Linked DNA regions of Schizosaccharomyces pombe. The protein of the gene in region 4 purifies or fractionates together with the protein of the main gene of each other region. This does not show direct contact. Each region holds a gene or a part of one and is shown on either strand. Other genes may lie near its edges. The genes, in order: spt3, taf6, taf12 and hfi1.

Region 1 (7,380 bases), on a different chromosome or scaffold from region 4:
CACCTAAAGATTTTTATGATAAGTTCATTGCTACCAGGACTCCCGTCATCATTAAATCCTCCTTACCAGAGTCTGACTGGAAGGGTTACCTATGGCAGCAACAGGATTACTTGCTCTCTAAAATTGGTGATATCGTATGCAAGGTTGAGCCGATCGATCCTGTTTCTGGGACCTTTGGACAAGGTATGAGTCGAAATGAAATGTCCATCAAAGAATTTTTTCAAAAACTAAAAAATGGTGAACGACTTTATTTGACTACACAGTACGATGAATCCAACGAGGTTTTAGATGGAGATGATGAGGTTTCTCTTCTTGTTAAAAGTTTATGTCCTCATCCTACTGATGGTTTGCTTACCGACTTTTCAATAACCCCGGCATTAATGGGCAATTTGGTCCCCCAGCAATGCAATCTTTGGATTGGAAAAAGTGAGAACGGCACTTCTTCCGGTTTACACCATGATTTTCACGATAACATATATGCGGTCATTTCCGGATACAAGAGATTCGTAATTATTTCACCAGATCATGCAAATCAACTTAAACTCTCTGGAAAAATTTCAAAAATCCACCCTAATGGGTTAATTTCTTATGAAGGTGAAGATTGCCCTCAGCGCAGCGATGGACTCACTGAGCTTGATGCTGCAATTGCAAAAACACAATTTTTAGAAAAAAAAATTGGTTCTTTGAAAGAACTAGCGGTCCCTCAAGAAAGTATCGAACTATTGGAAGCTGAATATGAAAATGAGATGGACAGAGTTCTTCAAATGCAAATTGGCGGACCTGAAGAAGATTGGAATGATTTAGAAGAAGGAGATGCTGCTAGCTTGTTAGACGGATCAGTTGGCGGTGATCCGGAAAGTGATATTTTATTGAATGAAGGAAATGATATTGAAGCAACTAGTTTGCAGGATACAAAACCCGAATTACCTGATCATTTTACCAAGGTGAGTGTTAATGGATTGCATAAATTCATGGGATTTGATGATGCTAAGAATGTTGATGTTGATAAAGATGAGCTTTCTGCTCTTGCGGGGACAGTTCCTCTAGTGGTGGATTTAGAACCTGGCGACATGCTTTATTTACCAGCAAGTTGGTTTCATGAAGTCACCTCTTCAAGCGCTAGTTCTGGAGGTAGCGATGTACATATTGCATTTAATTATTGGTTTCATCCTCCCGATAATCTTGAAGACTTTGATCATCCCTACTTGGATCGCAACATTTGGCAAGCCAAGCGTCATCTTGTTGGAGAGGCAATTGATCAATTGTATGCTACTAACAAGAAAAACGAAAAACGACCGGCAGAAGACGATTCACCTTCTCAAAAGAAAACTTGTCAATAAAACACTTATTTATAAAACATTTAGAATTGAATAATTTTAAATTTATTAATACAAACCCTTGAAAATCCCTTGTACTAATGATATAAAAAAAAGTCGTAATCGTACTCCAATGACCCAAAAATTGGAAATTTTTGTACGTTTAAGAAAGACAATTGAAAAATGAAAGCATAAAAACGGGGATTTATAAAGATAAGAAGGATTTTTGGATAGCATACTTAGGTTCACTATTCTAAAAAAATTAATTGTAAATTATTCTGAGGGAGTTTCGACGGCTGTATCATGATTTTCAGTGGAAAGGGGGACATCTCTAATTATAACAAGTCCGGCAAACATAAATAAAGAGGCAACAAGTGAGATATGGAAAAGATCCTTCTCGGTGGCAGTATAAGCAACATTAATGATATTACGAATTTGAGTCCCTTGGGGGTATGACAGAGCAGTTCGTAGGTCCCGGAATATTGATTCAATTTCTGGGACAGGAAGATGATCTTTAAGGTCATGTAACAAACGACTTGAGAGCCTCTTACTCCATACGCCTCCTGCAATAGCAGATCCAAAGGCACCACCAACAGAAGAAAACGTTAAATACAACGTGAGATTCATACCTAATTTAGCATGTGACGATACTGACTGAACAGCAATTTGCGCACTTAACGTCAGTAACCCACCTCCCATACCAGCAAGTATAAGCACTAAAACTAGGGGACGGGTATAGTGGTTATCGTTAATACCAAATAAGATGATACCCAAAATCCCCAATACGTACATAGGAACAGAAATCATAAGCAACATCTTGAAGCGACCAAACCGCTTCATGAGAAAACCTGACAGGATAGCCGTCGTAGTCATTGAAAATACAAAAACATTAAGGGTAAGGCTACTCATGTCAATTGATAATCCATAAGAGACTTGAAGGAAAGAAGTTAAAAAATTTGAGAAAATATAATAAGACATGAAATATGTGAAAATTAAAACGCATGAACCAAGGATGGTACGGTCTTTCAAAGATTTTAAGGCGAAAACGGGATAGCGTGCATATTTGACGTCGTAGAAGCATAGGGTTACTAACAAAGCAATGGAGAGAGTTATAGTAAAGAGAGTTAAAATTGTTGAGTCTGGTGAAACTACCTGACTCGAATGGGAAAAAGGCAGCAACAAAAGCGTAAAGCCAGACACAAACAACACTATTCCAAGACCATCCAATTCCTGCCAAAACAAATAAAATAGTCTAAGTTTTTCAGGAGTGGAATGATTGATCAAGTTATGATGTTCTCTATATAAACCTGCAGCCTTGGCTTTTCTTTGGTTTAGGAAAAGCGAAGCCAAGAGAGGTAATGAAACTGTTGGTAAAATGAACGCCCATATACCATAACCCAATCTCCACCCATAATTTTTCTCAGGATGAAAGGCTTGAGCAAGCACTGGTCCAATCCAAACAGTTGCAAGATAGGGAAGTTCTGGGATAGCAGAGAGAATCCCCCGATTGAGTAGCGAAGATGTGTCTGCAATAATTAATTGAGATAACAGACCTAGCCCAGTTTGGCCGCATATATAGAGGATATATGCTACGGTAAACATTTGAATATTTCGAGAAAATGCCAATGAAAGATATCCCAACACTGTCATTCCTAATGCTAAACTAAGACTCTCCGAACGTCCAAAGACATCGGCAGCCTTTACCATTGGTGCTCGAACAACTGCTAAAAGAATATTGCCCACCAAATTGATTGTAGCCAAGTTTGAATGGGCGGAAAAGTTGCTGGTTGCGTATCTTTGCAAAGAATACGTAGTTTGCTGCTCTAATGAAGATGCAAATGACAACAAATAGAGACTAAAAGAGAAGACATTGTGTTAGCTTGATCATACCACAAACACAAACATTCAACAGATGTATGCAAACACTACGTGATTTATGGATTATCATGACTACAATACTAACATACCCAAGGTAAGCAACAATAATCGATCTTTTAGACCATGTTGAAGCAATTGCCTCAGCTTTGGAAACACCTTCTAGTGACAATTCTGAAGTACGATCATTTATGGGTCCAGCATTATCAAGCTCTTCTCTAAGGGGATGAAATTGCTGTTCTAAATTTTCGTTATTACGAAAACTCTTTTTACGATGCTCCATGCTTCCATAATTCTCAGTCATCCAGAGTGTATGGTAAATGGCAGTATGCAAAAGGTACGCCAACACAAATTATCAGATCGTATAGCAAATTAGAGTTTATCTAACCGAGATGTTTAATGAAGTTGGTAAACAATAATAAATAAAGACTGATGAAATGCAGACTAGTTAGTTAATAAGAGGTTTTTGGTTGCTTTAAGAAGCGGTTAAACTTTTTTAAATAATAGAAGAATTACACTTTGACCCTTTCTCCGAGGTTCAGGCTAAGCCGCCAATTTGATGTTCCCGCAATTAACTCCTCGAATTTATGAGTGATGGCTTCAATAGGGTATTCATTTGTTCAGAGTATTCAATTTAGTTTCTAGTCACACTTAAACATTTTGGAAGTATTAAAAATTACAGAGATTGGTAGCAGACGATTTTACAGCATGCTCGAAATAGAAGCATTAAGAAGAAATTGCAATATCACTCAGACTAATGAAATCCTTCTAAACACGAAAACATAATCTAAAGAATTGCTAGTAATATCACAAATTGCTGATAATTAGAAGGTGTTTACATTTATGGCAACAAAGATGAATGATCTAGCAAAAGAGAGTTTCAGACCAAAGAAAGTTGATGCTTTTCACTTTATAGATTACTCAAGTATCTACTTTAAACGGAAGTAAACAAGTTACGAAGGTAAAAAATTTCAAACATTTACAATCTTAAATTAATAAACCTATGCTTCAAAAAAAGACAGGAGTTACTCTTCTAATAACACTTCTTCACTAACTAGTTGTACTGGATGTTCTGTAACGAAAGAATGGACTGGGTTTGCAGTTTGGATAGTGTATCCAGCTCTCATAAAATTTGTTTGCTTTTTGCAAGCTAAACGTTTGACAATGGTTTTTCTTTTTCAACTTAAAGCACTTTATGCCCCATCAATTAGTCCTTCTTACTGGAAACTATATTTTTCTTGTCAGTTTGGAGTTCAGCAACTTGTCAACTACCCACCACTTTGGGAAGTGGTTAAAAATAAGCAATGCGGAATGACTGAGACTGGCAGAACCAGTAAATATCGTGTTGAAATTCAACAAATGATGTTCATTCTAGGGGAGGTGCAGGATCCTCTCCCAGAAACCACACAATTAGTCGAAGAGCTAATACGTGGACAAGTGATGGAGATGTTAATTCAGGCAAATGAGCTAGCTTTACGACGTGGCTCAAGATCTATTACTGTGGAAGATTTATTTTTCTTAATTCGCCATGATCGTGCAAAGGTGAATCGACTAAAGACATACCTGTCATGGAAGGAAGTGCGCAAGAAAGCGAAGGAGCAGGATGCCAATCCTGCCGATACAAAAGATCTTTTTGAGGAAGTAGATTCAAAAACAAGGTCAATGAATGCAGTTGCTATGCCTTGGGAAGTAAAAAATATGTTTACAGAGCCTGTACCGGAAACAGAAGAGTTTGAAGAAGATAACGATACGATGGAAATGGCATATGCGACGCGACAACGTCTTAAAATGGCAGATGAACGCACGAAGAAAATGACGCGTGAGGAGTATGTTCATTGGAGTGAATGTCGACAAGCCAGTTTTACTTATCGAAAAGGCAAGCGATTTCGTGAATGGTGTGGCATGTCTATTCTAACAGATACTCGCCCTGATAATGATATTGTAGATATACTTGGCTTCTTGACCTTTGAGATTGTGGCTACCTTAACTGAGGAAGCACTGGCTGTGAAAGATCGAATGGATCGGATTCAAAATAGCTCGGGTAGTGGAGGCTCTCATGCAGCGCATCATCCGAAAAATTGCAGTTTATTTGATGGACTTACTGAGGGGAGAACTCCCCTTCAAGTTTCTCATGTTTTAGAAGCTTTTCGTCGTTTGCAAATCCCCGATAAAACTCATACTGCTATGCGCAGTTTTCATGGGGGTTTGGTCAAATCTCGTGTGTATCTTATCTAATCATTTTCACTGTCTCTTCTTTTTTTTTAATTGCTGTAAGGCTTCCATTTACATCTAAATGCCCTGTTTTCCTGTAATTACCCATACTAGGTACGTATATGTTATTATCCCCATTACTGGTTCTCCTTGAAACAATATGGTTTAGATCTTACGAAAGCCCCTTTACTTTATGGAGATATTAACTACTCAATATATTTCATCACATTAGACTGTTGTCTTGCATCTCCGATTGAATTCATAATTTTATTTCTATCTTTCCACTAAGCGATATTCTTAATTGCAGCAGTGGTAGTATTTGGACTTTTGGATTTTTTAATATCAAATTTTTCTTATTATACTGGAATCTCATGATATCTGTGAATATTTGCAAATCTTCTTACCAAACTTCGTTTACTCTATACAAACTGCTGATTTTCGTAATGAACAAGGGGATCATCCTTTTGATATCGTCAGTGCGAAATTTTTAAAAAACAAAGGGTTTCTTTACGTTTTTTTTTTGTTTTCGAGAACATTTGAACTTCATCACTGAGCGTCATTTTGATCATACCTTCCACCTTAACATCATACATACGCCAACTCCAAGAATAACCGAACATTCGTATTCCGAAGCACTCACAGTACTTAAGAGATACAAAATTCAGGAATTTTAAAGACTTTTTGATTTATTATAATTGTAATTCTTTATAATTTTTTGCTATCCGAAGAATTCGCTCAACAAGATTACAACATGACATCTGGATCTCCCAAAATTACAAATTTGCTGACTCGTGTGAAGCGCATCATTCCACCACTTCTTGATACCTTCCACAAAGGTCAAGCCGGTCGAGTTGGTGTTTTTGGGGGTTGTCAGCACTACACAGGTGCTCCGTACTATTCTTCGATGTCGTCGATGCTCTTCGGCAGTGACCAAAGCCACATATTTTGTGAAAAAGAAGCTGCAAATGTCATTAAAAGCTATTCTCCTGATCTGATTGTTCATCCATTTTTACGTGAAAAGGACAAAGCTGGACCAGAAGATAGTGTCGATAAATGCTTTGAACTTATAAAGCCCATGATGGGAAGATTGCATGCCATCGTAATTGGGCCTGGATTGGGACGTGATGAATGGATGCAAGAGATTATGGCCAAAGTAATTGAGTATGCGCGCAAAAATGATATGCCTATGGTTATCGATGCTGATGGCTTGTGGTTAATTCAACAACGTCCCGAATTGGTTTCGGGTTATCATAATGTAATTTTAACACCTAACGTTATTGAGTTCAAAAGACTTTGCGACAAGCTTGACATTAAGAGTGACGGACCCGATGCTTGCAATCAGCTAGCTGGCAAACTAAATTTGCTCATCATTCAAAAAGGCCAATCCGATATTATTTCCGATGGCGCTACTGCATATGCTTGCTCCGTTCCTGGTGGTCTTAAACGTTGTGGTGGTCAGGGTGACATTTTAACTGGTATACTTGCTACATTCCTTGCTTGGAGACATGCTTATCTTAGCAAAGAATGGGATACAGAAGGTAATATGGATGCTAAAGAATGTCTCTTCCTTGCCGCATTTGGAGCCTCTGCCTGTACTCGCTGGTGCAGTCGTTTGGCGTTTAAGGAATGTGGTCGTGCAACTCAATCAACTGACCTGGTCAGACATGTGGGTAAAGCGTATAATGCGTTAATGGAGGATGAGATACCGTCTGTCGAGGAAAAAATAAAAGATTAAAAAAAAATAATATTTAAAAACCAAGAAGATAAAGGACCCTTAAACTAATAATTGACTTTTTTGCTTGTTTGTTCCCTGGAATTGACATTATTACCATGTTTTCAAGTCTTGGTTCAAATTCCCAAGCAAAGGGATACCTTAAACTTAGTTACTAGGAATGACTGAAACGAAAATACCAGATTATTAATGAAATAGCGTATTTAATTTTAAAAACCATGTTCAAAATAAACATTGCATAGTCGT
Region 2 (8,656 bases), on a different chromosome or scaffold from region 4:
ACGGTAGCTTAGCGCGGGAACAGGTAAGAAACACAATCAATGAAAAATATAATGTTTCGGACAATACCAGTTGGGACCGCTTTAATGAATCGATTTTGAACCCCAACATTAAAGGTGCTGGTGAAAAGAAACAGCTCGGTCTTTTTTATCCACAAAGGGAGATTTTACCCGCAGTTGGACCGGGTACGTGGAGATTTGCAATCCAAGGCACCGAGTTGTATCAGGTGGATAAAGATGAAGAATCATGGGATTATCCAGATGAGGATGCTTCTGCCATAGTTGAAAGTCAAAATCTTGATATCCGCATGCGGATTACTCCTTTGCTAACTGGTATACCACAACCTGATCGTGTTTATGTTGTAGGAGGAGCTAGTCGTAACGAGGCTATTGTGTTTAAAATTAGCCAGGTTTTGGGATGTGATGTTTATCGGCTAAAACACGGCGGTAGTAATGCCTGTGCTGTTGGCGTAAGTGAACGGAAAATGTTGTTAATTAATAGTTACTGACCATCAATTTAGGGCGCTATCAAGGCTGCATATGCAATGAATGGAAAAGGATTTACCTTTGAAGAATATGTAAACAAATCTTGGGATGAGTCCAAGAAAATTGAACTAATCATGAATAAACCATCCGCCCAAACTTATGAAGAATATGGAAAGCTTTTACCTTTCCTCAAAAAGGCTGAAGACATTGCGATTCAACAGTCAGATATCCGGCATTGAATTGATTAAATGCTTTTCCATTTCGCACTTGATTATGTGATTAGCTATTGATATAACGAGATTATTAATGAAAGCGAAATCCACTTTTTTTTTTAAAAAATATGAATAAACCTTAGGATACAAAATGATAAACGTTTCCTACATGAACATTTTTTTGAGCTATCGTTTTGAGAGCTTTGAATCACGAGTCTAAATTAAGACAAATAAATATGTAACATAAAGTAGTCATACACCATATTATTAAACAAATTTTTGCATACGCTTTTACATATAAGTAACACAATTTAAGCAGGAAAAAGCGTTTAAACATAAACAAATATAAAAAGGCTTGAGTAACAAAGACAATTTTTAAAAACATACACAAGTTATTTATTTACAAAGGAGTGTAGGGTTGCTGTAAGGTTAGTAGATAGAATGCAATATTTTAAGGTACATTTTCTTTTCAAGTAATGAAGTACCATGGACGAAAAGGGAAATTGCAAAAAAATAATTAGAATAGAATAGAAATCGTCAGCTAGAGAAGTGCAAAGTAATAAAGCGGTAGTTGGAAATACATTAATACGAATATGGGATAGAAATATTACACGAAAGAAAAACATAAAAATTAAAAGAGTGCATAGGGAAAATTAGAGTCGTTATTGATCCAAAAATGATTCCCAACGCTCAATAATTTCTTTTTGAGATTCAATTGCAGATTCCAACCACGTTTCAACACTAGCTTTGAGATCATCAACTCTACTGGTTGTGAGAGAACTCAAATCTCGTTTTAACAGAGTTGTTGATTCCGAAAACTCTTTTTCCAGATCAGCAGCTTTTGCTCGATATTTTTCGTATTGTTCTTCCAAGTAAGGGAGTGATTTTTGCTGAGATTTCGCTTGCTTTTTACATTTCTCAAGTTGAGTTTTAGCACGAGAAACAGCTTGAACTGAAGATTGCCATGTCTGCCACAACTTTTGACGTGTAGTAAAGGCATTTTTGGCACTCTCCACGTACCGAATGTACTCCTCCAATGTAGTGCCCAGTGTCAAATTGTCTTGAGCAACCTTACGTTCTTGTACAAATCGAAGCTCTACCTGGAGTTGGGAAAGACCATCAAACTTGGATGATAAGGTGGGCTCTAAATCAACTAAAGATAAATTTCCAACAGCCTCGCCAAAATCATGGATGGCTGAAGCGAACTGTATGCGTTGATCTATGGATAAAAGAAGCGCGTGATAAACCGACTTTAGTTGAGTTTCCAACGAATCAAGTGTATCCTTTGCTTCAATTAAAATTGGATCCTGTTCGGAAAATTTAGAAGATCCAGAGGTATGGAAGGCGGAGGTGAATGAGTCAAGTAAACCAGATGTTGAGGGACCTGAGCGCAAAGGACTTGATGAACTCTCAATGAGAGTAGTACGATGTGTCATTCTAGGGTCAAATGTCTCTGCTTCAAGAAACAACTTAAATGAGTAATCATCACGTAGAACCGGATGGGCAGATATTTTGCGAAGCATTACCTCCAAGGCTGCTCGTCGCTGTTCAATAAATTCATCATCAAAACGGCCTACAACCTGCTTTTCCGGGATGGGAGGAATGATACAACCCGGATGATTATTAGAAAGCAATTGATAAAGAAAAGCAAAATCATTATATCGTCTTTGTACAGTCACATTGCTAACAGAAGGTTGATTGTGTTCCTCTAAACGAGTGGAAACCGAATATACGGTATGCGATTTAGTGATTTCCTTAACGGTATGAGGGTCATGAACTTGGATGTAAAACGGGGTAAGAGATTGAGGTGCCGCTGCCGGGTGCGCCTTCTGATTCTCCGTATCTGTTAATGAGGTTGAACCTTGCTTCTGGGAGGAGGCAGATGAGACAGTGTGTGTAAAATTTGGAGCAGAAGATGAGGCAGCGTCTAAAGTATCTACCGTCTGTTCTGAATTTGGTATAGTGGGATTTTCCGTTGCTCCGATAGGAGAAGGGGAAAAGGAGTTCACTTCTGAGATCCAAGGCTTATTTGCAGAAAAATCTGCATTCAAAGCGGGACTAGATCCTTTTAACGGATTAATTTTTGTATTTAAACCAACTTCCAAACGGTTGTTTTCGGGTGCCATAGAAGGTGCATCAGAAAATTGCAAGGGACCTAAAGGTGCAGAATCCAAAGTTAACGTTTCAAACGGAAGAGATTTCAAATTGACGCTTCGTTTCCTAGGAGATGTATAGATATGAGTTTTTGGTGGAGAAGCTTGAACATTCGGCGACTCTTCTTCCACTCCTTCAGCTGAGGGCTCTTGGTCGGTTTTTGGAGGGTTCAGTGGAGAAACGGAATCTGCGAATGGATTAAATGCATCGTCTTCTTCATATATATTATGCCCAAGCATGATGGTGGCCGGTTGGGTTTTTGGATCTGATCACTGAAATCGTGCCTGAAATGGTGATGCGCAGCCCAACGACGACTAGCGAAAAATAACGATGGTTAAATACGTTTAGCAATGCGGGGTGACTTGCGGTGCAACTAGATAAGTGTCAACAATTCAAGTTTCTAATTCCTTTTAAGGCTACATTAAATTATATTTAGCTTGTAGAAGCAGTATATTGCGTTATACAGTATTGTGAGTGGTGGGTGATAATATATTTATCATTGTAACAGCTAATAACTGGACTGAGAATGATGCTCTGTTCAATCTAGACTTCTAATTTTAACTACTATTTTATATCAATATCAATGGATGTTTTAGTAAACAAACATATAGTCTTCTGCTATTGTTCAACAAATTGAGATTAATTGGTATTCCATGTAGTGTATTTTGATGCGTAACGTAATGTTTAATAGCGATTTTAGTGTAGCTCACTGTCTTGTAAGCTACGCAGTTTGGTATCTGATTTAAGGATACGTAGAACTGCGGTGAGTTTTCCTTGTGATCTATTATATTACAATACACAGGTTGTATAAGTAGCAACTGAGTATAGGTATTGTATTAACTGGGTTATAATGTTACCTATCACTAATATAGCTCATAACTGAACTGAGGAACGAGGTTCAGCAGTAGCTCTATTTATAGTATTCAGATAATATAGATCTTAATAGATTATCATTAAGATCAATCTCCATATCGTATCATACATGGTACGATATATAATTAGAACATGTGACATATAGTGATACGCAACGTAGTGTATTATAGCGTAGTGTAGTATTGCTGACAAGTATGTTAAATAAAGCAGTTGCTTCTAACATCGTTAACTACTTCTCTGCAGATGCAATTCACTCATTGATCCATAAATCGTTCATCTTACTACCAAGTCATGTCCTTGACAGTATGGAATATTGAATCCATCAAAGATGTTGCTGAAATGCTTGGGATTGGCAATCTTGCCGATGAACCAGCAGCAGCTATTGCAATGGATCTCGAATATAGAATTCATCAGGTGGTTCAGGTAGGTTTCGTGAAAGTAGACTATGAGATTTTACTTTCTTTGGAAGAGGCTAAAATAACTAAAAAATTGTTGCTAGTTTTTTACGATGCCTTTCAATTTGCTAGATAGTCTGCTTTATTCTGACATTAAACATAATTCTCTAACAGTATTTGATTTAGGAAGCCACTAAGTTTATGGTTCATTCTAAAAGAACTGTTTTAACTAGCGCAGATATCTCTTCAGCGTTACGGACGTTGAATGTTGAGCCGTTATACGGCTTCAATAATTCTCGTCCATTAGAATTTCATGAAGCCGCTGTAGGTGCAGGCCAAAATTCCCTTTACTACCTTGATGATGAGGAAGTGGATTTTGAAAAAATCATAAACGCTCCTCTCCCTAAAGTCCCTAGAAACATTTCTTACAGTGCACACTGGCTGGCCATCGAAGGTGTGCAGCCAGCCATTCCTCAAAATCCAACTCCCTCAGATCACACAGTTGGAGAATGGGCATCCAAGGGTACTTCAGGGGTTATGCCAGGTGCTTCAACTGCTGCTAAAGAAGCTCGAAACGGTGTCACTTCGATGGACAACGTTGAGATAAAACCGTTGGTGCGACATGTGCTATCCAAAGAGTTACAGCTTTATTTTGAGCGTATTACCAGTGCATTGCTTGATGAAACTAATGTTGAGCTCCGTGATGCTGCCCTATCGAGTTTACGTGACGACCCCGGATTACACCAACTTTTACCATACTTCATAATGTTTTTATCGGATTCTGTAACTCGAAACTTAGGAAATCTTGTGGTTCTTACTACTTTAATGCACATGGCCTGGGCCCTTCTTGATAACCCCAACCTTTTTGTAGAGCCTTACGTCCAACAACTCATGCCATCCATCCTTACTTGTTTGGTCGCGAAGCGCCTTGGCAGTGATCCTAATAATCACGAGCATTATGCACTAAGAGACTTAGCTGCTTTTTTACTCGGGATTGTTTGTGATCGATTTGGTAATGTGTATTATACATTAAAGCCTCGCGTTACTCGCACGGCACTCAAAGCATTTTTGGATAACACCAAGCCATATTCCACTCATTATGGTGCCATCAAAGGCTTAAAAACTATGGGGAAAGAAGCTATTAGAGTCCTCGTCGTTCCCAATATCAAAGTTTACGAAGTCCTAGTTCGGAAAACCTTGGAAAAAGGAAATGAAGAGGAGATTTACGAGGCCAATAAATGTATGGATGCTTTGTACGACGCTTTGCTATTACTGCGGGATGATCAATTACCAAATCAACGAACTCTTCCGCCAAATGCTAGTGGTCTTCTTGAGAAGAACGTTGGCAGTTTAATGGCTGAAAAGATAATGAAGGAAAACGATACCTCATTGCTTCTTGGTCTGCTAGAATAGTCTTCGTTGGGCATAAAATATTTGTTTTTGAACAATTTAATCTATGAATCTCGGACTTTAAAATATTTACCCAATTTTCCACACTACCTAAACCATTATAGGTTCTATAATTAAAATGTTATTGATATTCATGTTACATTAAAACAGGAAGCACCGAATAGCTTTCAAATGAATAAAAATAGAATGATGATAATATTGATATAGTTTATTTCATGTTTTGATTAAAGATGTGAGACTAGCTGACAATGCCGGGTTTTAAATGAAAGAAATACGTAATAGAACAGAAAGGGGAAGGAATGCTTGATTATGCCAAAGAATGCGAATAAAAGTAAACGAATTAAAGCAATTAAACTAGGTGAGGGAATAGCACCATAATAAATAATAATACTTTATCAGATATCGATGGAAAAATAACTGCACTAATCGCTATCGAATTCATCATTGTCCCCCATATTTGTGATTACTAGACGTTTCATTCCTTCTTCAGCACTGTCCTCGTCTGAAGATTCAGAACTGCTGCTTCGTCGATTGACAAGATAAGATTGAATATCATGAGTAGGTGATCCGCTACGAGATTCAAAGCCGTCTGATTGAGTAGTTTCGGCTCTGGAGTCTGCTCTTGAATGTATTGACATTCCCATAATGGAAGGTGCAGTCCCACTATGGGTTGAGCTGGCACGTGAAGACTCAATCATTGAGATATATGTTGGTGCAGTATTCGATGTCGAAATTACCAATTCGTCCTCATCGTCATCCTTACCTTCGGTAGCAGATAATCGTGGAGTAAGAATGGTGTGCTGAGGAGCCATTGTACGTGAATGAAGCGAAGCAGGACGGGTGTGATAAACACCATGATGCTGGCTAGAAAATACCCTTGAGCGCATGCCTCCTAAGCCTTTGCTGGAAGACTTCCCATTTTGTGATGAACTTTTGATTGATGGGCTAGAGTGTAAAGGAGCCACACGGCCTATATCACTCCAGACAGTCGCCTTTGCACGGCGTAAACTCTGTACGTAAGAAAAAGTAGAACCATTTGACTCATGGTTGCTATTAATGGCATTCGAAGTTGGAAGGGAAGACCTCGAATATGGATCATCATGGCTCGATCGAGTAGCTAAACGTTCCATGCGATTAGTCTTCTGTCTAGTAATGATTATTATCTATTTATTCCTTCTTTGAATAAGTTGCTTGTAGAGTAATTCCAATTAATTTTTAAAAATTTCACAGACAAATGCCGGGATTAGAAAACGAATGGTGTTAAGATAGACAATCTTTTATTTGATTAAGCAATCAGCTAAAACTAATTAAACAAAGCTCATATATCTTTGAAAAGCGCAAGAATTAATGTTTCGTACTGAAAATTGCAAATGTGCGGAAGCTATGTTTACATGTCTCATTCTCGAACATACGGTGTCCCAGAGGTAAATCTTATTAGGTTTTACTGTAATATCCCATAAATTTCTGTAAATAACAATACGCAATTCAATGTGCTTTAGCGTACTGTAGATTCTTACACAAACGAGCCTTACATGCAAAAAGCCGATTTAATCTCCATTTTCCTTCTTAATTTTAAATACAAATTACATTTGACTTCCGATCTTCACTCATTATAGGAGACTGTACCGATTACATTGCCTATAGGGATCTTTCATCTCTCGTTATTCTCGTATAGCAAATTATAGCGCGTCGTAATTTTCTTTGGACGGCACATTCACTCTTTTGGAAACTGCATGTCTGCGAAGCAGTTGTAGAGAAGTAGATTTAAATGGATATCGTTGCAGAGACTCAGATTGAAGAAGAATCATTGATACCCGACGCCACTAGTACTCCATTAGAAACGGAAGTGGTGGCTGATACTACATTGCGTAAAACAGCTTTACATCTAGCTGGCGTCGATAATCTTTCAGAAGAACAAGTCAAAGGATTTATTTCAGCTTATGCTCCTGAATCTCAATGTACAATTGAATGGATTAATGATAACGAATGTAAGAAGCGAAAACTGGCAAAGGGTTAGTCTAACTCTATAACCGCGTATAGGCAACGTTGTTTATGCGGATGATGATGTTTCACGAAATGCTTTATTTCATTTAATTATGGAGTCTCCGACAGAATTTTCAGAGGAATTGGAATATCAAACGAAACCACACCCAACTGTACCGACGTGTCAATTCAAAATACGTTACGCCCGCTACGGAGACAAGAAGGTTAAAAGCGCACATCTTTACTCGAGATATTATCTGTTTCACGGTGATCCTCGAGAAGAAAAGGCTCAGAAGAGCAAATCTAAAAGGTATAACTTGTGAAAACCAAATTAGTCCGGGTGCACTCATACTTTTCAAAAATCATTTCCTCTACTTTTGAGAATCTCCTTTTACTCAATTTTATATTCAAATTACTAACACTTTCGCACAGTAGAAATCAAGATGAAAGGGGTTCGCCATTAGATGAACGACTAGGTCCTAAAGTGTCTGACCTTACACTGATGGAAAGAATATTCCAAGTTCGACGCAAGCCACGCAAATCAAGGAGAGACCGTCGTTCCAGGGTTTCCAAGCGTTAATTGTGTTGTAGAGAAATATTAAATACCCAGTTTATCCGCTTTTAAGTCGCTTTTCGCTGGACGAAGGCAAGAAAAAATTAATATGCTAAATTAGCTACAATTTTATAAATAAAATTTTTTTATTTAGTTGGCCATATTAAAATAAAACCGTTCTTTTCTGCGTTTAATAGAATACTCTTTTGGTACCTGAATGATATCGATAACCCTTTTAAGGTAGATGTAAGCAAACGACAATTTTGAATGGGATAGTCCTTAGCTTTAAGCAACGTTGTGATGAACAAAAATTACCAATACAGATTTAAATTGTAAGAGCTAAACTCTTAAAAAATGCTTAAAATTTTTCGTCGATAAATGACGGTCGACACAAAATAACTATACATAAATGCATCTGGTCCACAAATGGATAGGTAATAGCATCGACTATTAAAATGGAGAAGGGATCATGAAAATTGAAATGCATTACGGTAATGTAAAACATAGAAATGTAAAAGTCATGAAGACAGAGATCATTAATAAAATGATTACCGCTTTTCCTTTCCACGAGGACGATCGCGGACGAGTAATTT
Region 3 (6,665 bases), on a different chromosome or scaffold from region 4:
ACATCCTGGAGAACTGTATTCCGTCGTCAAGCAAATGCTGCTGACAGTAAAGCATCAGCCGCGGCAATTGAATCTCTGATTAATTATGAAGCCGTTAAAACTTTTAATAACGAATCATACGAAATGAGCAGATATGAAAAGCATCTTTCCGCCTACGAAAAAGCCAACGTTAAGGTAGCATCTTCTTTGGCCTTTTTGAATTCAGGACAGGCTATTATATTCTCTACCGCTCTTACTTTGATGATGTACATGGGTTGTCGTGGAATTGTAACTTCCAACCTTACTGTAGGTGACCTTGTCATGATTAACCAATTAGTATTTCAGTTGTCAATTCCTCTTAACTTCCTTGGATCTGTCTATCGCGAAATGAGACAGGCTTTTACTGATATGGAGCAATTGTTTTCTTTAAAGCGCATTAATATCCAAGTGAAGGAGGCGCCAGATGCTCGAGATTTGGTTCTTAAAGGCGGATCTATTCAATTCGATAACGTTCATTTTTCGTATAATCCAAATAGACCTATTCTTAATGGTTGCAGTTTTAACATCCCCGCTGGAGCAAAAGTCGCTTTTGTAGGCGCAAGCGGATGTGGTAAATCAACAATCCTTCGACTTTTGTTCCGCTTTTACGATACGGACTCAGGAAAGATTTTAATAGACAATCAAAGACTTGACCAGATAACTCTAAATTCACTTCGAAAAGCCATCGGTGTTGTACCTCAGGACACGCCTCTATTTAATGATACAATCCTTTACAATATTGGGTATGGTAATCCGAAGGCATCTAACGACGAAATAGTGGAAGCCGCCAAAAAAGCTAAGATTCATGACATTATTGAAAGCTTTCCAGAGGGATATCAAACAAAAGTTGGCGAACGTGGTTTAATGATCTCTGGAGGAGAAAAGCAAAGACTTGCAGTTTCAAGGCTATTACTTAAGAATCCAGAAATTCTTTTTTTTGACGAAGCCACTTCAGCTTTGGACACTAATACTGAACGCGCACTATTGAGAAATATCAATGATCTTATTAAGGGATCTCACAAAACCAGTGTATTCATCGCTCACCGTCTTCGCACAATAAAGGATTGTGACATTATATTCGTTCTTGAAAAGGGTCGTGTTGTTGAGCAAGGTAGTCATGAACAGCTTATGGCTAAGAACAGTGTATACACTTCAATGTGGCACTCCCAGGAATCCCCCTTTGGCGAATCGAATAAATCCGGAGATGCATGATTAATTCCCTAACTAAAAAATATTATATCATTAAGCAGGCTGTTCAAGTTAATTTTTTTTTTCTTGAATATGGTCCCACTTTTGATATTTCATTCAGAAAGTTAAGTAGCCGTTTCTATAATTTTTTTGGTATTATTTTGTTAATGTCTTGAATACGTATTTTAATTTATTTTCTTGTTTTCGCTTATAATCTATTATAAATTGGCTGGATTAAATATTTCTACAATGTTACAAAAAAATCCAAAATTACTAAATGTGATTATTTTTTAGTTCATTTATACTTATCTATAATACGAAAATTAGTCATTTCCCCCATACTAGTAGACTTCAATGCTTGTACTACCTCAGGCGCTCGCGACGACCCTAGCTCGCAGTCAGTTTGGCAACTCCCAAATATTTGTGTAGTAAAAAAGCTGTGCTTGTCTTTGGATTTTTAATCTAGTTTATAGCATAAAAGGAAATAATAAAAAAAGGAAAATGAATGGGCAGCATTCAAGCCCTGGAACACCAGTTCAACGACCATCTGCTGGACCGGTAAATCAGGCACAATTTTCACAACAGAGAACGAACCAGTTAACATCTTTGTTACACACTATGACTATGTATCAGCAACTTGCTCAAAACGTTGGCCTTAATACTCCTCAGGGACAAGTTTATTTGCTTCAAGCTCAAACCATTCGTCGTCAATTACAAGGCCACGCGCAATCTGGACAACTTCCAAATCAACAACTCTTACAACAATTACAATCCAATGGAGCTCTTCAGCAAGGTACTCCGGAGCCTTCAAATACCCGCCCGCGACCTCAGTTGAATGCTCAAGAACAAACAATGCTTTTAGTCAGGCATAGGCAACTCCAAACTGCTCAGAACTACTTAACAGAAATGAAAGAGGCTTTAGGTCGCATTAAAAACGAACTTTCTACAAATGAAAGATTGGACACTAGTGCTCGCGAGGCTTTGGTAAAGCAGGAGTCCGAGTTGACTGTAAAAATCGCGCAATTTACCGCTGCCATTTCTAACGGCATTCGTTCCATTCAACAATTACAAAATAGGCAGGCATCTTCTGCTAACGGTAATAATACTGGTACATCAACTCCTGTGAACGCCTCAACTGATACTAGAAAAAGCACTGCTTCAACTCCTCAATTACAACAGACCCAAGCACAAGCTAATGCTCCTCAACAACGTATAAATCCCGAGACGTCTTCTGTTCCTGAAACTCCTGTTGGCGTTTCCGCAGCTAATGTTAGCAATGAAAGTACCGAGCTCGCTACTTCTGCAACTCAACAGTCGGGTTTGGCAAATAACGTTGAAAAGTCACAAACTCCTTCTTACATGTCAGCGAACCATTTACCCAAGGTTGACTCCAAATCACCAATACCGTTTTCTGTTCCTCCGAGTCGTGCTACATTAACTGGTGGATATGCATCTGGAAGTATTGGTCTCAGCACACCGGGATTATCTCGTGCTCCACACTACGAGCTTGACAATGGAAACCGGTTATTATCAAAGAGAAAATTGCATGATTTGCTACAGCAAATTGACTCGGAAGAGAAAATAGAACCAGAAGTTGAAGAACTCCTTTTAGAGATTGCTGATGAGTTTGTCGAATCAGTCACTAATTTTGCATGCAGACTTGCTAAACATAGAAAATCTGATACGCTTGACGTAAGAGATGTTCAATTGCATTTAGAAAGGAACTGGAACATCCGACTCCCTGGGTTTGCTAGTGATGATATCGTCAAGAGCGCTCGTAAGACTGGGCCCACACCTTCATATCAGCAAAAGCAAAACGCTATTGGAACTGCTAAAAGTTTGAATAAGGACTAACGCCAATGAAAGAGAATTTTATACTGTTATGCGATTTCATGGACTTATGTAAAAGAAAAAAGGTCAAAATTTTTAAAAATAAAAATCTAGCATTTCTACGGTTTTTGGTATCCTTAACCGTTGACAAAATTAAAATTTCCGAATTTGTCTCTATCAAAACATCCTACCCATCAATCTATGGTGCAATGTCGTCTTAAACTTTTAACGTTTATTTGTCATAAAGGTCAAAAAATAGCCAAACACTTTCAGTTCCAATATGATTGTTTTAGAAATAATTGTTTAAAGAATTATGGGTTCGAGAATCATATTCTCTCTATCCAACCTCACCACTAACTCTAACCGTTATTTAAGAACGGTTTCACCTTATGGATACGTTTTACAATCTCAGAAAATCATCATTAGACGACAAATTCGAGTCATTGTCCGTTGCCAGCAAACTTGATATTTGTCGATTGGCTTTATAATCCGGGTCTAACTACTATTGAATGTTACTATTTTTGTTAAGTAAATATGCATATATAATATTTAGAAGTAATATATAAGATTGCAAATGAAACAACCCTTAAATAAATAATTGGTTATGTAAGCTTCTACCTATATTGGAACATTCACGAGTTTGAACGTCCAAAGTATTTAGACATAAGCAATGTTTATATAAGCTATTAGAGTGACAAAAAGCATATAAGATGTATGCAGTTTGCCTAAAAGTAGCTACATGGTTAATAACAAAAATTCGAGACATCCCAATCTTAATATAGAAAAGCAGTGCTAAAACTGTCACGGGTTCGAATACTAACAAATGCAATTTCAAATGTTTCAGAAAAATATGACAAATTATATGCTCTTAACAATTGAATATAACATTCTAAAAAAAAAAATTTATTTCAGCATACCTGTAAATTCGTAATAATTTTGTCACAAAGCTTACCAAGGAGTAATTGAGGTTTGGTAGGATACAATTGAGGGTTGGATATTAATTAAATTAAAAACTATATTTTAAAAACCGGAATTAAATTCATGATATTGTTTTATGCATCGAATAGCAAATCAAACAGGGATAAAGAGAGGTGAGAGTAGTTTAAAGACAAATCAAACTAAATGAAAATATGAGGATTTGTGAAGAGAGCAGCGTAATTAAACACGTAAAAATTAATGAGATTTGTATTGGAAAACGGTACTCACTTGCTGTTTTCCTGCCTCACGTTTTAGCAAGTGATCTTCTATTCGGTCTAATGTGGGATTTGTAAAATGATTCCATGTGCTAGTATCACCGTATAACATGGCTGGGGCTCGGATGAATTGTTTTCCATCACGACACCGTTTACATTTATATGTTTCATGAGTTTCACAGACTGTGTGATCGTTAAGCTGAAACAGCTGCCTTAAGTTATCAAGCGAAAAATGTCTTTCGACATCTTGAGCTTCATCCACAACACAAGAAGACAAAGATTGCTTATGAGACTGCCTTTGGAATATCTTTTCTTCGATGGTTCCAGTAGCTATGAAACGGTAAACAAAGCAGTCCTTCTTTTGCCCATCACGCCAAACTCGAGCTAAAGCTTGTTGATCGGCGGCTGGATTCCAATCGGGATCAAACAGAATAAGACGATTAGCGCCAATAAGGTTAATACCACAACCACCTGCTTTAGAAGATAATAAAAACACAAAAGCATCCTTTTCCGGGTCATTGAATGTGTCAACTAAACGTTGTCGTTTATTTACATTCATAGTACCATCTAGCCGAAGAGCCTTGTAACCGCGAGCTCTACAAAGCTGCTCAAACAAGTCAAGCGTGGAGGTGTAATTGCTAATTAAAACAATTTTATCGTCTGTCTCTTGTTTTATTTGATAGAGCATTCGTTCCAACACTAACATTTTACCTGATAAAGAGGAGTCAATGTTTCTATCGCGCCCTCTTAGCTCACGGGGAATAAATCCTGGAGGGAATAGAGCCTCACAACCTTCCAAGTCCTCAGTTAAATTCAATAGATCAGGATGATTACATATTTTTTTTAGCAGACCTATAGCTTTTAGTGGTTGACTGCCGGTCCCCCTTAAGATTTTATTGATTTCAGGCGAGGTAATAAAATGCTTGTACAAAGAAAGCTGAAATTCGGAAAGGTTGCAAAAGACAACATGTTCGTATTTAACAGGCAAATATTTGGAGAGAATATCATTCGTACGACGAATAATAAACCGATTGACAATCTTGGCTAACTCAGCTAACTTAGCATCACCATTCTCCTTATCTTTTTCTGTTCCGTCAGCATCACGACCTTTTAAAATTGGAATTTCATAATTTTTTCTGAACTCTTGCCTTGAACCTAACAACCCAGGATTCGCAAAATTTAACAACGAAAAGTATTCGCTTAGATCATTTTGAATAGGGGTACCAGAAAGGATGACACGCCTTTGAACGTTTAGCTTGTCTAATGCCGTAAAAGTCAAAGAATCACTATTCTTAAGACGATGACCTTCGTCACAAAGAAGCATTCCAATTTCTGCGTTGTTGAGATGCTCAACATAACTTCTAAGGGTTTCATAACTGGCAATAAGCACTGGACGTGTGACTTGTCGTCCATGTACGGATGCCCATTGTTGCAAAGCCATGATTAACTCCTGTTTGGAGCTTTTACCGTCCAATATGAATGGAGTAATAGCATCTTTTCCTAACCATTTGACAAGTTCATTAGCCCAATTTTTGACTAAAGAAGAAGGACAAGTTATAATTGCCTTTTCAATTGTCGGTTTTCCAGCCTGAGGAGACTGTTTTAAAAGGGTCCATAACAAAGCAATACATTGAAGTGTCTTACCAAGTCCCATCTCATCTGCCATAATACATCCATTTGCACAACGGTCAATCCTTCCAGTTACACACTTGTACAAGAATTTGACACCTTCTATTTGATGAGGTCTTAGAATACGAGCAAGTTTTGGATCAATGACAACAGCAACAGGAGGAGGTGGAGGTTTTTCTTTCTGAATTCCTAGTAGATCTTTCAAACTTTTATTTGGTCTTCTATGCTTTGAGGTATTAGAGGTTATGAGACTTTGCTCGGTAGAACAGCTAGCCACTGTGTCAGTGGAGACACATGAATCATGGTCACTTTCAGGCTCACTATCAGAAATTTCTTTCTTTCCTTTTCGATTTTTTAACAATTCATCTTTTTTACGTTTTTCCGCTAAGACCTCTTTTATATCAGGAATGATCTCATCTGCATCAGTAGTGGGATCATATAAAACGATAGCAAATTCATCAGCAGGATCGTAAAGGGGACGAGGAATAAAATCCACCTTCCTTTTCATTCCCAGTGTAGGAGGTGGACGATGTGCACACAGTTTAGATATATCTTCATGACCCTTGATAGGTTTAGGCACAGAGAACTGTTTCTTAATGACTGTTGAGGGATCTCGTCGTTCATGATTTAGTATTAATCGATTAGCTTCTTTGATGGTTGCCAACCCAGACACATTTTCAGATACGTAAGCTGAATCATACTTCCCATCAACAGAACCATATTCGCTGTAGTTAACTCTTGGCTTTTTGCGTAAAGGAAGCTCTTTTCGCTTTTCTGAAATCACTAAAGAAGGGCATTTAAACTTTT
Region 4 (7,753 bases):
GTTCGGCATTCGGACGTTGGTTTCGTCTAGAGGGATGTGGTCATCCTCGGGAGCGTAAAGGCAGTCGCTTTTCTCTCGAAATTAGTGCTGGTCTTACTACCTTTTTTGCAATGGCTTACATTTTGGCTGTCAATGCTACCATTCTCGTAGATACGGGCGGCACTTGCGAATGTACTGAAGCTAATCGTGATGATTGTGACAAACTTGATGACTATGTACTTTGCAAAGAAGACTTTCATCGTGATCTCGTCACAGCCACCGCTGCCATTTCTGCTCTCGCTTCTTTCTGCATGGGTCTTTTTGCCAATATGCCCGTGGGTATGGCCCCTGGTATGGGTTTAAATGCTTATTTTGCGTACCAAGTTGTCGGATATAATGGCACTGGACGTGTTTCCTATCGAGAAGCTCTTTTAGCTGTTTTTGTTGAAGGATTCATCTTTACTGGTTTAACTGTTATAGGTCTACGCCAATGGCTGGCGCGAGTTATTCCTGCCTCTTTGAAATTTGCTACTGGTGCTGGTATTGGTTTGTATCTCACAATTATCGGACTCAGTCCAAGTGCTGGGTTAGGAGTCATTGGGCATTCCTCATCTGATATTGTCGCTTTAGGAGGATGCCCTCCAGAATACCTAAACGCTGATTATAGCTGCAACGGTCATCAATTACAATCAGGAAGAATGTGGGTAGGTATATTCTGTGGCGGTGTTCTCACTGCTATTTTAATGATGTACAAATTTAAAGGTGCTGTCCTTGCTGGAATCGCACTTGTCACTATCACAAGTTGGCCTAGACGCTCATTAGTAACTATGTTTCCCCACACGCTTACAGGGGATTATAATTTTGATTTTTTCAAAAAGGTTGTTAGCTTTCGAAAAATTAACCGTATTCTTGTTGCCCAACAGTGGAACGTTACAGGCGGTCAATTTGCCATTGCACTGATTACTTTTCTGTACGTTGACATTATGGATATGACTGGTACACTTTACTCAATGGCTAACTATGCTGGTTTGGTCGATCCTCGTACTCAAGACTTTGAAGGATCCGCAGTTGCTTACATCGTCGATGCTTTAAGTATTTCTATTGGGTCACTTTTTGGTTGCTCACCTGTTACTGCTTTTATTGAATCCGGGTCTGGTATTTCGGCTGGCGGTAGAACAGGGATTTTAGGTATGGTTGTAGGCATTTGCTTTTTCATTTCTCTTTTCTTTGCTCCTATTTTTTCAAGTATTCCAGTCTGGGCTACCGGTTCTACATTAGTACTTGTCGGCAGTATGATGATGAAGAGTACTACATTGATTAACTGGAGTTACCTTGGTGACTCCATTCCTGCTTTTATTACAATTGCTTTGATGCCATTTACCTACTCGATTGCGTATGGCTTGATTGCCGGTATTATTTGCTACGCTCTACTAAACTCCATTATTTATGCTATTGACAAAATGTCACGCGGTAGACTTGTACCGGCTGACTATAATCAAAAAGAAGCTTGGACATGGCGTGTCGAGGGGGGTTTATTGCCTCAATGGGTACGTCGCCTCTTTAAGGGTAACCGCAGATTTTGGGAAGATCCTGACGACCGCAAAGCTATGGACAATGCCACCTTAGAGATGGCTACTAGTAGATCTTATTCGGAGGACGGTAAAAATGAGAAAACTACTCATGAGGACGTTACAATGAAAGAAACATCTTTAAAGAAGATGGACGATGAGCGCATTTCTGTTGACGAAGCTGTTGGCGAAAGTGAAAGTTTCAGTAATAGACAACAGGATTTCCGGACGCCTTATGCTGGCATCGATATGGATACTGATGATCGTATTTAAACAGTTTTTACTAATACTATATTTTAGCAAATCTTGAACAATAATAGTATTCTGTCGGTAAATCTTGCTGGATAATTACGTATTTTAGAATATCTATATTGCTTCATCTTACATATTTCGCAACCTGTTATATATTAAATTCATTACTATAAATTAAAAAAAAAAAATATGTGAAAAAAATCTAACTTAAAAGGATAATCAAGTCTTGTATATTTGCGAGCTGAAACGCTTGAAGAATAGCCCTTGAAGCTTTTAAGATTGTAAATAAATAAAGCACTTCTGACGATTAGATTAAAAAAAAAAGAACCTCCGCGGTTATGAAAGCACTTCATCTAAAAGGGAAGCAACAGAATTCCTATCACTTTGCGCATCATTGCTTGCAAGCATGTAGCTTGGCGATTCTGCACAAATTGAAATTTCATCTTCAGTATAACTATCATGAAGCAAAAACGGCATTCTTAACTTCTGTGGATACTGTTCGACAAAAGCATGAGGTTCAATAGTCCATGCTAGATTAAGGTCATTAATGGTAAAACCTGCCGCATCATTTTCAGTATTTTTTTGTCGAATATTTTTGTTTAATATAGAAAAGCATCTGCTTAGAATGTTCTTTAGATGGCTTTCTAACCCAGCCAATATAATATCAGACACACCCTTTTGTACACCACCCAATAAGCCATTTTCAAGAGAAATAGCTGTAATTCGTTCTTTTAACGATTCTGAATCTGGAAGTTCAAGTGTTTCACATGCTAGAGGTGCAACATAGCCGGCTTTAATATCATTTACAAATACTAATGAGGTTAGTGAAAATATTACCCAAATTGTGGTTAAAAGGAAATTTCCGTTAATAAAAATTAAATGGTTACACTTTTGAATACTTCCTTAGAACCTATTAAAGAATAGGCTTACCTGAATTCAGCTTGTCTCGGGATACAGGAATTTTAGGTAATTTTGCAATTCTCGTTTCCAGCAGCAATCCTGAGATCAAACTTGGTGTAACTGGCTTTTCCTAGATATGTTTGTTAGAAAGGTGATAAAAAAGACTTATAATAAAGCCTACTTTTAAAGCAGTTTTGATCCTAGCCCGGTCTTTATAACTTAAAGACATTACTATTCGCTTGATTAATCGAACCTGTGCATTCTGCGAACTAATTTTTTTATGTAAAAATAAACTATTATCGACTTTCTTCCGTTTAAACCAAGGTAAATGATGTAGAGCACTAAAGGTATCATTATTTTTTTGCATCAATTTGAGAATATGAAAAATGATTGAATTGTGTAGTTTATCTAAAGTGTCAGAACAATATTAAATAAAAATTTATATCTTACCAAAATTTGATTTTCCAGCGAAAGTTAACAGCATCGACTTCATTTCCTTTCTGCTCAACTGTCCAATTAAGAAGTCCGTCATTGTTTTAGTATACACCTCGAAACTGCTACCCAAAAGTGATTGCATCTCTGAGATTATTTGCGAAATTACTGTGTTGGGTTTGTGCCCATTCGAGCTAGCGCTTTGAACTTTTTGTACAGTAACTCCTTCTGTCATTTTTCTAGTACAATTTAATCATCAAGGTCATCAAAATAAGTTTATGACAAAAAAAAATAATAGCAGAATTAAAATAGAAAGCTTAATCGCATAAGTCCCAGTATTGGTGTAAAACACAAGTAAATTGTTCAAACTTGTAGCTAAAAAGCAGATGCAAAAGTAAAGCTAAGTACAAATAAAGAACCTATTTTTTTTAATAGAAAGTTGTCTACAAAGGTTCTTAATGAGTTTCAAACAAAAAACTTTCAGACTTAGTAGAATGATGCCTTAAACTAGAAGTAGTCCAAGTTATTACATGCCAGCAATGCTTAATTTACGGTACGCTTCACTAAACATCAAACACTCTTCAGCCTAAAAAAATTTTAGTATACAGTAATAATCATCTGTATATTCTTGAGTATCTGATTTACTATTAATTATCTAACCACAAAATTATAAAATAGGAAAACGAATTTTAATTGTACCTACGTCCTTAAAATCAGTCGTGAAATGGGTTTGTGATTATTATACTTATGGAAGTTTAAGGTAACCTGGTATTAACAGCATATGAATTACAAGCAGTAGAAGCTTACTGTACTTTAACGCATCTTTAATACAAATATGGCTGTATAGCCGGCGGGTTAAACATGGCAACTCTACTTCGTTAACTCAAGTATATTGTAGAATTCCTTAATGCTCTATGTTAGTAATGTGTCCTGAAAAGTTAACTGCGCGCTCAAGAGACACCCATTTATGCGCCAAATCCACCAAGTAAATATCTCATTTATAAGTTAGAATACGAATTACATAAAAAAAGTTGGGACATTAATGGAAGAAAGAGGTAAACAACTATTGACTTGTAGTATAATTCTTTGAATCTAGATCAGTACCAACTAGCTAATGGATAAATCTGATTCTTTGCTGCAGTCGTCCTCGAAGGGACTGCGCTCCTCCATATTTTTTCAAGGAAGTTCGAGAATATTGACTTTCTTCTTAAACCAACTGACCATTCGGTTAACTAGTCCTAGCGCCTATGCATTTTCTTCTATTCATTTTGAGATATTACAGAGTACGATCCTTTTCCTCAGCAGGGAGTCGGTTCGATTAGCTATGCAAAGAATTCCTTCGGAAAATGCAATAATTACCTCTACTTCTACTGAGTCAAACAAATCAAAAAAATTAAGTGATCAGTTGCAATTGATCAAGAATACTTCTTTGATCAGTGTTTACATTGGTATCGTAATATCGCTTCTGGTTTCTTTATTTTACTTCTATTCACTTCCTAATTTTCCTTATTCTAAAACATGTATTTTTATTTACACCGTTTCTAGTTTCATTGAGTTGCTATCTGAACCATACTATGAAGTTCTTCAATGGCGCCAGAAGTTCTCCAAGACTGCTTCAGCAGAAGGACTTGGAACAATTATTTGCTCTTTATTGTCCTTTGCAATTTCTGTTTTAGGAAGGAATAAGGCACCGTCAAGTCTTCCTTTTGCCCTCGGTAACTTGTCAGAAAAAGTAACCATTTTTTTTACTTTAAGGTATTTTGCTAAACAGCCATTCTCCATATTTCTCCACAAAGTGGGAGAAAACGAGAGGTATATATTTTGGGATAGTTCTACTCTTCGAATAATCTGTTCACATACTTATCAAGTGTTGTTAAAACACCTAATCACAAAGGGCGATAAGATAATGGTAGCATGGTATGCTTCTCCTTCTGCTCAAGGTCCGTATGCGCTAGCTTCCAATTATGGTTCTTTATTGGCGAGAATCGTGTTTCGACCAGTAGAGGACCATTCTCACATTGTTTTTGCTCAGTTAACGCATTATAAGAACAAAAAAGATGAAAAAAAGGCTTTAAATTTGTTGGCATGGATTTTAAAATTATATTCTTATATGAGTTTGTTTATCCTTTTTGGAAGTAATTACTCGGACATTGTTCTTTTGTTTGGCGCAGGAAGTAAGTGGGCTTCTCCTGATAGCTCTAGCATTTTATCTTGGTACGCAATGTATATTCCGTTTATGGCTGCAAACGGCGTGTTGGAAGCATTTTATGTTTCAGCAGCCAACTCTTCTCAGTTGTATGATCAAGGGAAGTGTTATTTGGCTTCCGCTGTATTTTATTTTATTACTGGAAAATTCCTTCTATCATGGTTTAATTTAGGCTCTCATGGATTAATCCTTGCAAATATATTAAATTTATCACTGAGGATATGTTTTGCCTTACGGTTTATTCTTCACAATTATAAAGATTTTAGTCTCCCGAGGTCTCTTCCTAGGCCTTTTTTGCTAGCTCTTTCAATTCTTTTGTCTATTATAAGCAGCTTCCTCGTAAAACATTGGAGAGAATCTAAAGTCCCCTTTTTGGTATACTTCCTGTCCGCGCCCTCACTGGCCATCTTGTACAGTTGTTTTATAATTTTAGTCGATAAAGACGTAAGAGGATATGCAAAAATTCTGCTGAGTAAATATTACATAAAGTAATAAATACTACTCTATGTCAGATAGTTTTAATAATCTGGATAAAAATTTATATTATCCAAAACAAATTTTATTGGCATATGCAATTTCAGTGCACTATTGACATCTAATTTAGTGCTAAAAGGGGAAGGAATTAGATACAAATATTTTTTTATCGTAATTCAGACGGACTTCGCTAGCTAAGTGCGAACCAGAACGTCGTGTATTGCCAGATATTCTTTGACGTCTTCTATGCGACAAGTTTGTCGATGAAAAATTCCGGCGGCAAGAGCTGCATCACAATCCGTTTCTTTAAATACTTCTTCAAAATGTTGGGGAATACCAGCACCACTTGAAGCTATTACTGGAATATTCACAGAGTTTTTAACAAGACGAACAAGTTCTATGTCATACCCAGCATTTGAACCGTCTTGATCCATACAATTTAATAGTACTTCACCAGCACCCATTGCTTCACAAGCACGAGTAAGTTCAACAACATCAATATCACGATATTCACGACCTCCTTTAACGGTGCACTGATACCAACAATATGCTTCTCCATTAGGTCCAAGCCGAGATGTTTTCACAACATGGTGTTTAGTATCTTCAGGAACTTTTACATACTGACGTTTAGGATCAACCGAAATAACAACTGCCTGATTACCATAGGCCTTAGAAATTGTTTCTATAGCAGTTTTTCCACTCAATTTCTTCCCATTTTCGTAATACTTTTCTGCGGCATAAACGGCGTCACTTCCAATAGATACTTTGTCGGCACCTGATCTAAAGTAAATACCAGCAACTTCGACAGCAGGATGAAAAGTCCCATCAGGATCTGATACATCTCTGATTCCACCACCTACTGTTAAAGGTACAAATACTGTTTGAGCTGCCTTTTCTAAAACCTGTAACATAGGTGCATCGGCCATTGGACAATTTCTAAATGAAGTGATGTTCAAAAAAACGACTTCGTCAGCGCCTTCTTGAAAATATCTTTGACATAACTCCACAGGTTTTCCAAGATTTCTAACCTCGCTTCCAGAAGATTTTTCACGGACATCATATTGATCACCTTTTGTAACTACAAGGTCACCAGCGTCGTTGGAACGGACATCTAAGCAAGCAATAATACGCTTTGTTAATCCGCCAAAGGAGTTCTCTATAAGTTTAGATGCTTCACCACTTATAGGTTGCTCATAATTACCGGTTAAAAATGCCTTTAAACAACGCAAACCTGCAGATCCACTTTTTTCCGGATGAAATTGGGTAGCTAAAAAATTATTCTTTACAATAGCACCTACAAAGGTTTCATTTCCATATTTCGTGGTAGCAATTTTGAACTCTGGAGGAAGGATAAGTCCCTTTTCTGGAATCATATAAGAGTGCACAAAATAAAATTTGTCATGTGGGCGCATACCAAAAAACTCTTTTGAAGTGTCAGATCGTACAGCACAAGAATTCCAACCAATATGAGGGACGGTCTTGTCATCGTTGTCAAACCTTTGGACTAACCCCGGAAATACGCCCAACCCTTTAGAATGTGGTGCTTCAACAGACCCCTCGAATAATGCTTGGATTCCAACGCATACAGCCATAAAAGGTTTGCCAGACAAAGCATAGCGACGCAAGGGTTCTAAAAATCCTTGCTTTGCTAAGGAATCGCATACGAAACCAAAGTTTCCAACACCAGGAAAAATCAAGCACTGAAAGTATAGATTAGTATTTGATGAAAACGAAAAAAAAAACCGATTTGACTTAGCCTTTATAATGTAGATGGTAACAACATTTTTAAAAACAATAATGACATACTTCAGCTTTTTCAATATCATGGGGATTCCTGATCCATTGTGTTTCAAACCCTAAATACCTAACGGCATTGATTAAGGATCGAACGTTTCCACTACCATAATCAACTATTGAAACAATCATAATATGAGTAATGCAA

The links.
Region 1: the proteins of hfi1 (region 4) and spt3 purify together in Schizosaccharomyces pombe (affinity purification with mass spectrometry, with the first as the bait; 2 studies listed by BioGRID). This does not show direct contact.
Region 2: the proteins of hfi1 (region 4) and taf6 purify together in Schizosaccharomyces pombe (affinity purification with mass spectrometry, with the first as the bait; 2 studies listed by BioGRID). This does not show direct contact.
Region 3: the proteins of hfi1 (region 4) and taf12 purify together in Schizosaccharomyces pombe (affinity purification with mass spectrometry, with the first as the bait; 2 studies listed by BioGRID). This does not show direct contact.

What each region holds. Positions count from the first base shown.
Region 1 is NC_003421.2:1,438,500-1,445,879, forward strand, and holds spt3 (SAGA complex subunit Spt3), read left to right. Parts: upstream 1-4,454; 5' UTR 4,455-4,502; coding exon 4,503-5,426; 3' UTR 5,427-6,101; downstream 6,102-7,380. Other genes in the region: histone demethylase Jmj4, read left to right, coding at 1-1,340; siderophore-Fe(3+) transporter Str2, read right to left, coding at 1,590-3,171, 3,284-3,495; NADHX dehydratase Nnr2, read left to right, coding at 6,154-7,137. UniProt on the Schizosaccharomyces pombe protein: Component of the transcription coactivator SAGA complex. SAGA acts as a general cofactor required for essentially all RNA polymerase II transcription. At the promoters, SAGA is required for transcription pre-initiation complex (PIC) recruitment.
Region 2 is NC_003421.2:697,039-705,694, reverse strand, and holds taf6 (TATA-binding protein-associated factor TAF6), read left to right. Parts: upstream 1-3,997; 5' UTR 3,998-4,013; coding exon 4,014-4,145; intron 4,146-4,303; coding exon 4,304-5,530; 3' UTR 5,531-5,949; downstream 5,950-8,656. Other genes in the region: xks1 (xylulose kinase), read left to right, coding at 1-467, 519-722; retromer complex subunit Vps5, read right to left, coding at 1,358-3,088; protein mug123, read right to left, coding at 5,950-6,657; RNA cap binding protein cbc3, read left to right, coding at 7,296-7,515, 7,568-7,820, 7,943-8,090; rml2 (mitochondrial 54S ribosomal protein uL2m), read right to left, coding at 8,612-8,656. UniProt on the Schizosaccharomyces pombe protein: Functions as a component of both the DNA-binding general transcription initiation factor complex TFIID and the transcription coactivator SAGA complex.
Region 3 is NC_003424.3:3,676,378-3,683,042, forward strand, and holds taf12 (SAGA complex/transcription factor TFIID complex subunit A Taf12), read left to right. Parts: upstream 1-1,611; 5' UTR 1,612-1,707; coding exon 1,708-3,060; 3' UTR 3,061-3,651; downstream 3,652-6,665. Other genes in the region: ABC family Fe transporter Atm1, read left to right, coding at 1-1,230; rad54 (DNA repair protein), read right to left, coding at 4,210-6,665. UniProt on the Schizosaccharomyces pombe protein: Functions as a component of both the DNA-binding general transcription initiation factor complex TFIID and the transcription coactivator SAGA complex.
Region 4 is NC_003423.3:3,576,090-3,583,842, forward strand, and holds hfi1 (SAGA complex subunit Hfi1/Ada1), read right to left. Parts: upstream 3,631-7,753; 5' UTR 3,367-3,630; coding exon 3,150-3,366; intron 3,108-3,149; coding exon 2,881-3,107; intron 2,830-2,880; coding exon 2,730-2,829; intron 2,612-2,729; coding exon 2,136-2,611; 3' UTR 1,944-2,135; downstream 1-1,943. Other genes in the region: SPOM_SPBC887.17 (transmembrane transporter), read left to right, coding at 1-1,820; Man5GlcNac2-PP-Dol translocation protein Rft1, read left to right, coding at 4,246-5,829; his4 (imidazoleglycerol-phosphate synthase), read right to left, coding at 6,006-7,511, 7,618-7,737. UniProt on the Schizosaccharomyces pombe protein: Component of the transcription coactivator SAGA complex. SAGA acts as a general cofactor required for essentially all RNA polymerase II transcription. At the promoters, SAGA is required for transcription pre-initiation complex (PIC) recruitment.